2 linked regions of the Caenorhabditis elegans genome follow. The protein of the gene in region 1 interacts with the protein of each later gene in a biochemical or structural test. Each region holds a gene or a part of one and is shown in the gene's direction. Other genes may lie near its edges.

Evidence for each region.
Region 2: the proteins of mog-5 (region 1) and mep-1 form a complex in vitro, tested with the Caenorhabditis elegans proteins (one study listed by BioGRID).

Annotation. Positions count from the first base shown.
Region 1 is NC_003280.10:5,397,595-5,405,569, forward strand, and holds the start of mog-5 (putative pre-mRNA-splicing factor ATP-dependent RNA helicase mog-5), read left to right. Parts: upstream 1-1,943; 5' UTR 1,944-1,944; coding exon 1,945-2,115; intron 2,116-2,299; coding exon 2,300-2,557; intron 2,558-2,608; coding exon 2,609-3,383; intron 3,384-4,644; coding exon 4,645-5,987; intron 5,988-6,727; coding exon 6,728-7,597; intron 7,598-7,846; coding exon 7,847-7,975. Other genes in the region: fbxl-3 (Putative RNA-binding protein EEED8.10), read right to left, coding at 1-280, 329-410, 468-568, 622-743, 796-896, 953-1,077, 1,226-1,288.
Region 2 is NC_003282.8:11,523,134-11,528,822, forward strand, and holds mep-1 (MOG interacting and ectopic P-granules protein 1), read left to right. Parts: upstream 1-1,508; 5' UTR 1,509-1,509; coding exon 1,510-1,632; intron 1,633-1,678; coding exon 1,679-2,021; intron 2,022-2,069; coding exon 2,070-3,012; intron 3,013-3,056; coding exon 3,057-3,553; intron 3,554-3,607; coding exon 3,608-3,900; intron 3,901-3,971; coding exon 3,972-4,385; 3' UTR 4,386-4,821; downstream 4,822-5,689. Other genes in the region: thum-3 (THUMP domain-containing protein), read left to right, coding at 4,923-4,988, 5,035-5,384, 5,592-5,689. UniProt on the Caenorhabditis elegans protein: Has a broad role in development, specifically in the genetic pathway SynMuvB that negatively regulates specification of the vulval cell fate. Required for fem-3 3'-UTR-mediated repression in the regulation of the sperm/oocyte switch.

The DNA of each region.
Region 1 (7,975 bases):
TTTCTCTTGCCAATGCAATTTTATTGACAAGTTCCCAGGATTTAATTGATTCTTCCATGAACTTTTTATTAACTCGTTCCAATCGAATTGTTTCGTGAATTGGTAAAAATGAGATGACCCTTCTAAGAATTTTATCCGGGACGTTTCCCAAATTGAATGATTGCTCGGATCCTGAAGCTAACGACTGTGTAGATGAAGCACGGGACAATGGAGTATCTTCACGACTTCCAACATCATCACTGAGCACGAGACCTTTACCTCCACGTTTTTTCGATACATACTACAAGATAAATTGGTTTAAAAATTAAATCCCAAATCAAAAACTTACAGCTGAGACAACCATAACTTGATCATAAAACTTCAACTCTTCAGGATTCGCATTTTTCGCGCGATCAGCATGCTCAGACTTTCTGCAAAAATTGTATTATTAAAAAGACCTGAACAAACCAAAAAAATTTAAATTATACTTAAAAGTAATAGTAGCAGTTCCACAATTTCTGGAATGCTTTGGAAGTGTTCCGAACACTGATGTCTTTTTCTCTTCGCGAGGCAGAATGCAGCTGGTTATCTGGAAATTTAATTTTAAAATTTTATATTTAAATGATAATTAAAACAACACACTTTTCCATATTGAGAAAAGAAGGATTGAAGCTGTGATTGGGTGACTTTAGCAGAAATATTCGAAACCACGATTTTTCGATCATCACGAGAAGTATGTTGGAAAGCGATAGATGCATCGAAATCTGAAAAAAAAAACAATTATTGATTTTTTTTCCAAATTTTAAGATTTATTACCGTCTGTTTCTCCTCCATCAAATGCATCTCCATCGGCGAGTAACATTGGTAAAAGTCGTCGATATTTCATAAACTCTGCGGCAGAGTGGGACCAAGTTCGCCTGAAAATATTTTAATTTTAATTTAGAAAAAACCAGAGCTAAAATGTTGATATTACCTCAATTTTCCAATACTGAAAAACCGTGCCCTTGTGACAAATGACTGAAATGCTTCAGTCATATCATGAAGCCCTCGGCTCTCCAAGTTCTGTCCATGAAGCCGGCGGAGTGCTTTGAACATACTCTGAAAAATTGAAAATGTGTGAAAAAAACGTTTTTTCGAGAGAAAAGATAACAGAACCATATGATTTGATTTGGCTACTGTTCCCTAGTGTTTTCTTATCACATTAACATTTATTTGGTAGACAAAAAATCGAATTGTGTTCTCTAACCTGTTGTGATTTAGCACTTCCAGCGCTCCCGAGGTTCGATGTGAAGCTTCGATTGAAATCCATTTTTTAGGTTTAACTGTTTTCTGAAATTGAAACATTAATAATAAATTTGAAAACAATTTTGATCGATTTTCACTAGTCGTTGTTCGGAGGAGGAATGGCGCATGTTTACCAGTGAGTCGGGTTAGAGATTATACGGAAGTGAAGAGACGCAGAAAACGGGACATTCGGATGCTTGGGGACACATTGGTCACTATGAAACGTTCAAAAGCACCAATTCAAAGAAAATCTAGAAAATTTGCAGTTTTTGAACAGCTTTTAAATTTAAAATCATGCTTTAAAAGACCTTGTTTTTTGTTAACTTTGAAGGCAAAGGGTATTTGCAATAACGATTTTACATTAACACAAACTTATATATCCATTTTTGGAAATACTAAAATAAATTCAAAAAAACACAATGAAACATATTTACAAACGAAATGAAAGCCGGCAGCTTCAATAAAATAAAAAATAATTGTTGAAAAAATATAATTAAAGAAAGCTGCACACTGTGCGGCACAATTGCGAAAAAGCGGGCCGCAGTTTGCATGAAAGACCACGCCCACTATTTTAGATTTCGAATTTGTTTTTTTACTCTAATTTTCTATTGTTCGAGTTTTTCGGAATTAAAACTGCTTTAAAGAATTATTTTATTAAATTTTTTATCTGTAAATTTCAGGATGGACCAGCTTGAGCACCTCTCACTTGTGAGCAAGGTCCTCAGTGAAGTTGAGAACCATTTTGGTGTCGTCGAAAAAGATGTCGCTGAGTTTGTTATTCATTTGGCTCAAGAGAATCCAACATTTGATAAACTGAAAAAGGCTTTGGATAGTCAGGGACTTGGGGATCAGGTATGTTGAAATATGAGAAAATTTAACGACTAAATTATTTTTTTAAAGGAAATTTCAAAATTATTTTAATTCAAGGTGTTTTAAAATATTTTGATGAATATCAAATATCGAGATTTAAAAAAAACATTATTCGTCTCATAAATATAAAAGTCTCGATATTCCTCTCTTTAATTCTAAATTTCAGTTTGATGATTCCCTCACTGCGACCATACTTCGTATAGTACAAAGCATGACTGCTGTTAAAAAGAAAAACAAGAAAGGTGGTGATTCAAAAGAAGATATCAAGGATTCACACAAAATTACATTGATTTCTGATGCAAAAGAAGAAATTAAAGCACGACTTCCAGCTCTAGCGATGGCAAATACTGCGAAAGAAAAGGAAGATAATGAAGATGATCTTATGGCTCAGTTAGAAAAGATGGAAGGCCGATATGAAAGTGAGGTACGTATCTTTGATATTTGAAATTTGTTAAAATAAATTTTCCATTTACAGAAACGTCTTCAAAAGGAATCAGATTCAAAACGAAACCGTTCAAGAAGTCGATCAAGGAGTCGTGATCGAAAACGAAGAAGAAGTCGTAGTGGTGACAGGGATCGTCGGAGACGTAGTAGGAGTCGTGAAGACAGAAGAGATCGAGATAGGAGGGATCGGGACAGAGACAGAGACAGAGGACGTGGGGATCGAAGAGGAGACGACAGACAAAGAGATCGGCGTGATCGACGAGATGATGGTGGTGCTAGAAAATCCGAAGTTGCAGAAATCGGAAAAATCTACGATGGTCGTGTAAACAGTATTCAATCGTTCGGAGCTTTCATCACACTGGAAGGTTTCCGTCAAAAACAAGAAGGACTTGTTCACATCTCCCAAATTCGAAATGAACGAGTTCAAACCGTCGCAGATGTTTTGAAAAGAGGAGAAAATGTCAAAGTTAAAGTTAATAAGATTGAAAATGGAAAAATCTCGTTGTCAATGAAAGAAGTCGATCAGAATAGTGGAGAAGATTTGAATCCACGCGAGACCGACCTGAATCCGGATGCAATCGGAGTTCGTCCACGGACACCGCCAGCATCAACTTCCTCGTGGATGAATCCTGAAGCAAGTGGAGTAGGACAAGGTCCTTCGACCTCAATTGGTGGTGGAAAGGCGAGAGTTCGAATTTCGACACCTGAACGGTGGGAATTAAGACAAATGCAAGGAGCCGGAGTTCTCACAGCCACAGATATGCCTGATTTTGATGAAGAAATGGGAGTTCTAAGAAATTATGATGGTGAGTATTTTATTTATGATCTAGTAATTAATGATAAATTTGAAAAAAAAATTATTTTCTCTTGAAAATCACTAAATTATTTTTGAATTCCGCGCAAATGGTGCTTTATTTTGCTTACCGTATTTCCTCTATTAGTCTTGCACCCCTACGGGTCAATCTAAAATTAGTCTTGCAGCCTCTATTAGTATTGCATGCAAGACTAATAGAGAACATACGGTATTAGTCTTGCACCCCTATTCTTGCCAGACCAGCAGTATTTTGTGAAAACTTCAACAATTTCGCCATTTTATAGCTAAATTAAATTTTAAAGTGTTAAAATAATTGATAAAACAATAGAAAAGTATGTATTTTGCATGATTTAGACTGTTTCAAGTCAAATTTGTGACGATAAATGGCCAATTGAACAAATCTATCGGGTCTTCGAAAATTAGTCTTGCAGCCTCTAATAGTCTTGCAGTCTCTATTAGTCTTGCACCCCTACGGGTCAATCGAAAATTAGTCTTGCATGCAAGACTAATAGAGGAAATACGGTATATGATTTTTTAAAAATAATTTATATTTAAAAAAAAAACTGCAAAATTTTTTTAATTGAAAACAATTTCAATTTCTCTTGAAAATGACTAAAAATGATGTTTTACAGACATTTTTCCTTAAAAATTGACAGTAATTTATCGTTTTTAAGCCGATTTTTTATTTTCAACAAAATTTAAATTTGGTTTTCTTTACTGAAAAATGCCAAAGTATGACAAAAGATGCATCGGAGAATAAATATCGAATTTAGCCTGAAAAATGCGAATACTTTACAATTACGGCAATAATTTTCCCGGGAATTCAAATAAAATTAAAAATTAAGCAAGATTGAAAAAAAAACATGAAAAAAATGATGGTATAAAATTTATGATTTAATAATTTATCAAGAAAAATTGTAAAATTTTTTGAATTAAAACAAATTAATTTTTCCTGAAAATGACTAAATTGTTTTTGAATTCGCGCACGCAGACATTTTTCCTCAAAAATCGACACTAATTTATCGTTTTTAAGACGATTTTTTAGTTTCAACAGACAAGCCAAAATATGACAAAAGTTGCATATATCAAAGGAAAAATTTCGAATTTAGCAGGAAAATGCGAAAAATTACAAGGAAATGATTTTCCCGATAATTCAAAGACAATTTTTAAAAAAGCTAAATTTAAAAAAAAATCATTAAATATTTAAAATAAAGTTTCTATCATTTAAAGCACAACAATTTTTCAATTTTCAGATGAAAGTGATGGCGAGGATATTGAAATCGAGCTTGTCGAAGACGAACCTGACTTTTTACGTGGATATGGAAAAGGCGGTGCAGAAATAGAACCTGTAAAAGTTGTCAAAAATCCGGATGGTTCATTAGCTCAAGCAGCTTTAATGCAAGGTGCTCTTTCAAAAGAACGAAAAGAAACGAAAATTCAAGCACAACGAGAGCGTGATATGGATACACAGAAAGGATTCAGTTCAAATGCTCGAATTCTTGATCCTATGTCTGGAAATCAGTCGACTGCGTGGAGTGCTGATGAGTCAAAGGATCGGAATAATAAAATGAAAGAAATGCCAGAATGGTTGAAACATGTGACAGCTGGTGGAAAAGCGACTTATGGAAGAAGAACCAATTTGAGTATGGTTGAGCAGAGAGAAAGTCTTCCGATCTTTGCGTTGAAAAAGAATCTGATGGAAGCAATGATTGATAATCAAATTCTTGTCGTTGTTGGAGAAACTGGATCAGGAAAGACTACTCAGATGACACAATATGCAATTGAAGCTGGACTTGGAAGACGTGGTAAAATTGGATGTACCCAGCCTCGTCGTGTTGCAGCAATGTCCGTAGCAAAGCGTGTGGCAGAAGAGTACGGTTGTAAGCTGGGAACTGATGTTGGATATACAATTCGTTTCGAAGATTGTACAAGTCAAGATACTATTATCAAGTACATGACGGATGGTATGCTTCTGAGAGAATGTCTTATTGATCCTGATCTTTCTGGATATTCGTTGATTATGCTTGATGAGGCTCACGAACGTACAATTCATACGGATGTCTTGTTTGGATTATTGAAAGCTGCTGCTAGAAAACGTCCGGAACTGAAGCTGATTATCACTAGTGCCACCTTGGATTCAGTTAAATTTTCAGAGTATTTCCTGGAAGCTCCGATCTTTACAATTCCTGGAAGAACATTCCCCGTTGAGATCCTGTACACAAGAGAACCAGAATCAGATTACCTTGAAGCTGCACATATTACTGTAATGCAAATTCATTTGACTGAGCCACCTGGTGATGTTCTTGTGTTTTTGACTGGACAAGAAGAAATTGATACATCGTGTGAAGTTTTATATGAACGAATGAAATCAATGGGACCTGATGTGCCGGAGCTGATTATTCTTCCTGTCTACGGAGCTCTTCCAAGTGAAATGCAAACAAGAATCTTTGATCCAGCTCCTGCCGGAAAGCGAAAAGTTGTTATTGCTACGAATATTGCCGAAACTTCTTTGACAATTGATGGAATTTTCTATGTCGTTGATCCAGGATTTGTGAAACAGAAGATTTACAATCCGAAAAGTGGAATGGATTCCTTGGTAAGCATTTATGCACCCGTCAGGGATTTCACGAAAAAATTCGACCAAAAAACAAGACAAAAAACGAAAAAAAAATTTCAAAAAACACGAAAAGCGGCTAAAAAAACGAAAAAAAAAATCAATTTTTACCAGAAAGTTCAAAAACCAGGAGAACAAGTTTTTTCGAAGACGAAAAACGAAAAAATAATATTTTGCCAAAAACAAAAAAAACTCGGATTTCTTTTTAAAAAAAACTTTTTTTTTTTGGTTTTTGTCTTAAAAAAAACGAAGAAAAAAATCCATTTTTACCAGAGAGACCAAAAACAAGAAAAAAAATTTTGTTCGAAGCGAAACAATTTATTTCGCCAAAAACAGGAAAAAACTGAAATTTTATATTTTTGAAATGTTTGAAACGAAAATTCTTATTATTTCAAGAATAAATATTTGTAGAGTTATATTTAATTTTGAGTGTAATGTTTTGTGAAAAAAAGTGGAATAAATATTTTTTCGCCTTTTTTTAACAAATTTTTTTTCGAAAAAGTGAATCATACATTTTTCGCCTTTTTTCATAAATTTTGATTCGAAAAAAAAGTGAAAAAAAAATGTTTTCACCAGAAACTGAAAATGATGCAATAAAATTCAATATTGTTTGCAATTAGACGAATTAAAATTATTAGCTACTCAAAATAAGATAATTTTTTTCGAGATATTAAAAAACAATTTTCTGATAAATAAGAACGAAAATACAATATAAATTTCAGGTTGTCACCCCAATCTCACAAGCCGCAGCAAAGCAACGATCAGGACGTGCAGGACGTACGGGACCTGGAAAATGCTATCGTCTCTACACAGAACGTGCATTCCGTGATGAGATGCTTCCGACACCTGTTCCAGAAATTCAGCGAACAAATTTGGCGTCAACACTTCTTCAGCTTAAAGCTATGGGAATCAATAATTTGATTGATTTTGATTTCATGGATGCTCCACCTCTGGATTCAATGATTACTGCTCTCAATACACTTCACACGCTTTCAGCACTTGATGGAGATGGTCTTCTCACGAAACTTGGTCGTCGAATGGCTGAATTTCCATTGGAACCATCACTTTCCAAATTGTTGATCATGTCTGTCGATCTGGGATGCTCAGAAGAAGTTCTTACGATTGTGGCAATGCTCAATGTGCAAAACATTTTCTATCGACCTAAAGAAAAACAGGATCATGCTGACCAGAAGAAGGCGAAATTCCATCAACCAGAAGGAGATCATTTGACACTTCTAGCGGTTTACAATTCATGGAAAAACCATCATTTCTCACAACCATGGTGTTTCGAAAATTTCATTCAAGTGAGAAGTATGAAGAGAGCTCAGGACATTCGTAAGCAATTACTCGGAATCATGGATCGTCATAAACTTCTGATGGTCAGTTGTGGACGGGATGTATCGAGAGTTCAGAAGGCTATTTGCTCTGGATTCTTCCGAAATGCTGCAAAACGTGATCCACAGGAAGGATATCGAACATTGACTGATGGACAGAATGTTTATATTCATCCATCATCAGCATGTTTCCAACAACAACCAGAATGGGTTGTATATCATGAACTCGTCATGACAACTAAGGAATATATGAGAGAAGTAAGTTTATTTCAATTTTATATACGGAAAAGTACTGTAGGCGGAAAACACAAAAATGTCGAAACTAGGCCATTATGCTCCCTTTTGAAATATTTTCAAAATTTGAAAAAAAAATACAAAGTTTAGAGAAATTATATACATTTTTAAAATTCATATTTGGCATATGGAGACTTTATTCTTTCATTTAGGGCCAAAAACTATTTAAGTCTAAATAAGAAATTAAATAAAAACCTAATTTTCAATTTCCAGGTCACCGCAATCGATCCAAAATGGCTTGTTGAATTTGCACCGTCATTCTTCAAAATCGGAGATTCTACCAAATTATCAACATTCAAACGAAACCAGAAAATCGATCCGTTGTTCGACAAGTATGCAGAT
Region 2 (5,689 bases), on another chromosome or scaffold:
AACCAACGTTCACTCCCTTGCTATCGAAACTGCACCTGTTGCGATTTCGTGGCGAGACCCGAGGAAATACTCAATTAATAAATACAACGGTGTCAATCCCACATTGACTGATCTTGCAAATATCTTTCTTCATTGTGTCACTTTTTTTCAGAAATGCAGTTTTTCCATTAGTTTATAGTGCCCAGCGAGTAGTATATCCTCAGAAATGTTGATCCTCATGATTATAAGGTCATTATCGTTTCAAAACATGAATAGTCATAACTTTTCTCTCACAAACTTTTCGAATGTATCCTAGAACTGCTGAATCTCACAGAAACCTAAATTACGAAATCAGGTTCTAATTTTTATCAAAAATTTACAAACCTACGAGAATTCGATTTAACTTGAGAATGAAGAAAGACGCCAACTTCAATTGAAATGCACCGAATTTAGTTCAGGTTACTATCATTTGTATTCTAGATGCAAAGGAATTCACACTTCCAGCTGATATAGCGCTGATCCTAACACGATCCTTTCAACATCTTAGATTTTCGTTTAATGTTTAATCGGAATTTATATTTAAGGCCTGTAGAAATTTCCTAGAAAACGCTATAGAAATATTTAGCTGATTCTCAAGTTTTAGGAACGGGCGTCTTCCTGGTAGAAGATAGTTCGCAGCCCATAAAGACAGCACCCGGCCTAACCGACAATGGCGGTTATGAATTTTTAGACCATTTAAGGTTATGATGGCGAGACCACAACAACCCGTCGCCACGCACGTCACGCTCACAAAACACTCATTCATGCGCTCACGGAACGCTCACACACTCATGACATACACACATCATTTCGCCTCACACACCGCGCCGTCGCCATCCGCACCGCCCGGGTGGGACGTGTTCAAACTTTTCGGTTTTCGTAATTAATAGTGAGCCCCGGTTTATTCGCTTTGAGAATCAGTATAATGGATATATCAGATTGTGTAATTAGGTTGCGTGCTTGAACTTTTAAAATTAACTGTTTTAAATTTATCTGCCTTTATCGTTACAGTAAATCATTTTGATGAACTTTTCGGATGAATCATAATGAAGTACGCAGCGCTCTAACAAAATGTGTTTGTAAATTCCAATTGCTACAAGTTGCCCGGCTTATTTTTTGGTGATTGAAGCATGATTCTGTTGACGCTCCCGACGCGGAATACCAGGACGGACCGATGAGAGAGTACTGCCAGTGAAGAGACGCATGCGAGCAGGACGAGTGCTGCTCACCCTTCTTCTCAGCGTCGGCGGCTGCGACCAGCGGCCGAGGAAGGGGAGGAGAGAGGCCGATTTGGCTGCGTACCACGTTTGATACTCAGTCACTTACCACAGCTGGTTCTCTTGTGCGTTCAAATCTGGCTTGCCGCGCGCGCGCATTTTATTCCTACCAGTTTGAATCTCCCACCTCTCCGACTGTAACTGTCCTAATTTGCTTCCTTCTCATCACTCTCTCTTTGCCTATTTCTCACTATCTAGACTCTATTTTTCCAGAATGGTCACCGCCGACGAGACGGTACTCGCCACAACGACCAACACCACTTCCATGTCTGTGGAACCAACGGATCCGAGAAGCGCTGGTGAATCGTCCTCAGATTCGGAGCCAGACACAATTGAGGTGAGGAAAAGTTTTGGGAATTTAAATCTGAATAAAACGTTTTCAGCAGCTGAAGGCAGAACAGCGCGAAGTGATGGCCGACGCGGCGAATGGTTCCGAAGTCAACGGAAATCAAGAGAACGGAAAAGAGGAAGCGGCATCTGCAGACGTGGAAGTGATCGAGATAGATGACACCGAAGAGTCTACGGATCCCTCACCTGATGGATCTGATGAAAACGGTGATGCTGCATCTACATCGGTTCCAATCGAAGAGGAAGCGCGTAAAAAGGATGAGGGGGCTTCCGAAGTGACTGTGGCATCATCTGAGATTGAACAAGACGATGATGGCGATGTTATGGAAATCACTGAGGAGCCGAACGGAAAGTCGGAGGATACTGCCAACGGAACAGGTGTGTTTTATAATTTTACCAAGTTTAATTTTAACTTTCTATTTTCAGTTACTGAGGAGGTGCTAGATGAAGAGGAGCCAGAACCTTCCGTAAACGGAACAACTGAGATCGCTACAGAGAAAGAGCCAGAAGATTCTTCAATGCCTGTCGAACAGAATGGGAAGGGTGTGAAGCGGCCTGTCGAATGCATCGAACTCGACGACGACGATGATGACGAGATTCAGGAAATTTCTACCCCTGCCCCAGCTAAAAAAGCTAAAATTGATGATGTCAAGGCGACAAGCGTTCCAGAAGAGGACAACAATGAGCAGGCGCAGAAGAGATTGCTCGACAAGCTGGAAGAGTATGTGAAGGAGCAGAAGGATCAACCATCCAGCAAAAGCCGAAAAGTTCTGGACACTCTTCTCGGAGCAATCAATGCGCAAGTTCAAAAGGAGCCTCTGTCGGTTCGGAAGCTGATCCTGGACAAAGTTCTCGTTCTCCCAAACACAATATCATTCCCACCAAGTCAAGTTTGCGACTTATTGATTGAGCACGATCCCGAAATGCCTTTGACGAAGGTTATCAACAGGATGTTTGGAGAAGAAAGACCAAAGTTGAGTGATTCCGAGAAACGAGAGAGAGCTCAGCTGAAACAACATAATCCTGTTCCAAATATGACAAAACTGCTCGTGGACATTGGACAGGATCTCGTTCAAGAAGCTACCTATTGTGATATAGTTCACGCGAAGAATCTTCCAGAGGTGCCAAAAAATCTTGAAACCTATAAGCAAGTCGCTGCGCAGTTGAAACCAGTTTGGGAGACATTGAAACGCAAAAATGAGCCGTACAAGTTGAAAATGCATCGATGCGACGTCTGTGGATTCCAGACGGAATCAAAGCTGGTTATGAGCACTCACAAGGAGAATTTGCACTTCACAGGATCCAAATTCCAGTGCACCATGTGTAAAGAGACGGACACGAGTGAGCAAAGAATGAAGGATCACTACTTGTAAGTTTTTTTTTTTTCATCTTTCAATATTCATTTAATTACAGCGAAACTCATCTTGTTATTGCAAAATCGGAAGAGAAGGAGTCCAAGTATCCATGTGCAATCTGCGAAGAAGACTTCAATTTCAAAGGTGTCCGTGAGCAGCATTACAAGCAGTGCAAGAAGGACTACATTCGCATTCGAAACATCATGATGCCGAAGCAAGACGATCATCTCTATATCAACAGATGGCTCTGGGAGAGGCCCCAATTGGATCCCAGCATTCTTCAACAGCAGCAACAAGCTGCTCTTCAGCAAGCTCAACAAAAGAAGCAACAGCAACTTCTGCATCAACAGCAAGCAGCACAAGCTGCAGCCGCTGCGCAACTCTTACGGAAGCAACAATTACAACAGCAACAACAACAGCAACAGGCTCGTCTTCGTGAGCAACAGCAAGCGGCCCAATTCCGGCAAGTGGCTCAACTGCTGCAACAACAATCAGCGCAGGCTCAACGTGCACAGCAGAATCAAGGAAATGTGAATCATAACACTCTGATTGCAGGTAATAGCTAAACATATTTTAAATAAGTATTTTGTATAATTATTTATATTTCAGCAATGCAAGCGTCGTTGCGTAGAGGTGGTCAACAAGGAAATTCGCTGGCAGTTTCTCAACTTCTCCAAAAGCAAATGGCAGCTTTGAAGTCGCAACAAGGAGCTCAACAACTTCAGGCTGCGGTGAACTCCATGAGAAGCCAGAACAGTCAAAAGACGCCAACACACAGAAGTTCGAAACTTGTTACTACGCCGTCTCATGCTACTGTTGGCTCTTCTTCAGCTCCCACGTTTGTATGCGAAATTTGTGATGCGTCAGTGCAGGAAAAGGAGAAGTATCTACAGCATCTTCAGGTAATTTTAAGAAACGTTTCTATTTCAATTTCAAAACCGATTATTAAATATCTTAAACATCACATTTTCAGACTACTCATAAGCAGATGGTTGGAAAAGTGCTGCAGGACATGTCGCAAGGAGCTCCACTGGCATGTTCTCGATGCCGTGACAGATTCTGGACTTATGAAGGGTTGGAGCGGCACTTGGTGATGTCGCATGGTCTCGTCACTGCTGATCTGCTCCTCAAAGCGCAAAAGAAGGAAGACGGAGGTCGATGCAAGACATGCGGCAAGAACTATGCGTTCAACATGCTTCAACACTTGGTAGCTGATCATCAAGTGAAGTTGTGCTCGGCTGAAATCATGTACTCGTGCGATGTGTGCGCGTTCAAATGCTCGAGTTATCAGACTCTGGAAGCCCATCTCACTTCAAATCACCCAAAAGGAGATAAGAAGACATCAACACCAGCAAAAAAAGATGATTGTATTACTCTGGATGATTAATAGGAAAACGAATGGCTTATCCCGTTCTACGAATGAGTGCTGGAAACATTCTTCACAATGATCTCAATTATTTCTCTTATTCTTTACATTCAATCATTTTAAATCACCAGTTCTCCCACTTTCATTGATATACACATTCTATTGCGGGTTCCGGAACCGAAATCAATCAGTACTTTACTTTATTTCCCCAATTTTTCTCTTCATGATATCTGGTTTATTCTCGCATCTTCCCCTACCTTCAAAACTCCCTATTTTTTTTTCAAAACCTAACTACCCCACAATTATCATGTAAAATCAAATTGCAATTCCCCATAAGACAGATCAGTATACACTTTCACTTCATACGTCTGTTGTTCTCCCCCATCTCATACTTTTTTTACCATTTGTCCAGTTAAGATTTTTGGAAGATATCTATCATATAAATATTATCACCTTTACAAACCATTCTTTTTGAAACTATTTTCAGAAATAAGATTCAGATTTTCTCATAATATTTGGAGGAATCTATTTCAACAGATACGAAAGATATTCAGACAAATGACAGACTCCGTTGAAATCTGTGCTGCTGTCATCACCGGTTTTGAAAAAGTTGCAGCAAAAGAGGTAAATCCTGAAAACTAGATAAAATATCTTACTCGAGTTCCTTCAGATTTCAAAATTATTTTCGCCTAAAAAATGCCATCCAGGACGTGGAAATGTAAGATTTTCAATAGATCTGGAACGTGTAAACGAGACTCTGCAACTTCGATCAATCGATAATCTTTATATGGTTTTTTATGAAGAAACAATTGAAAAGCTGTCTGAAATGCAAAAAGAAGATGCATTGAAAACTATTCAATCGCAAATTTCATTTTGTAACTGGAAATTGGCAATTGAAGCTTATCAATTGGCACGTGGAAACGCGATTAACGGAGGAAGTGAAAAGATTTTGAAACAGATTCAACAATTTAAAAAAGATCGAATATATAGTGAAGTTACGGACGATTCACCCAAGTTTAGGTAATTTTTGAAATCAATATCAAAAATCCTTATTAAAATTTTCAAAAAAAATTAAAAATTCGAAATTTTATTGTGGTTTTAAACTGAAAAAATTTGGTACATCTCACAAAAATTACAATTCAAAATTTTAGTTTTGAAATAAAATTTCAATTATTTTTTTTCCTAATAATTTTTATTTTTCAAAAGTTATGATGACTTTTTTTTCAGAGTAACATGCAAACGATGTGGAGAGAAAGAGATTCACAAATTCAGTTCAATGGATGCTGCTTCGAAGTTTGGAGCTGAAATTAATAATGCTTTTGGTT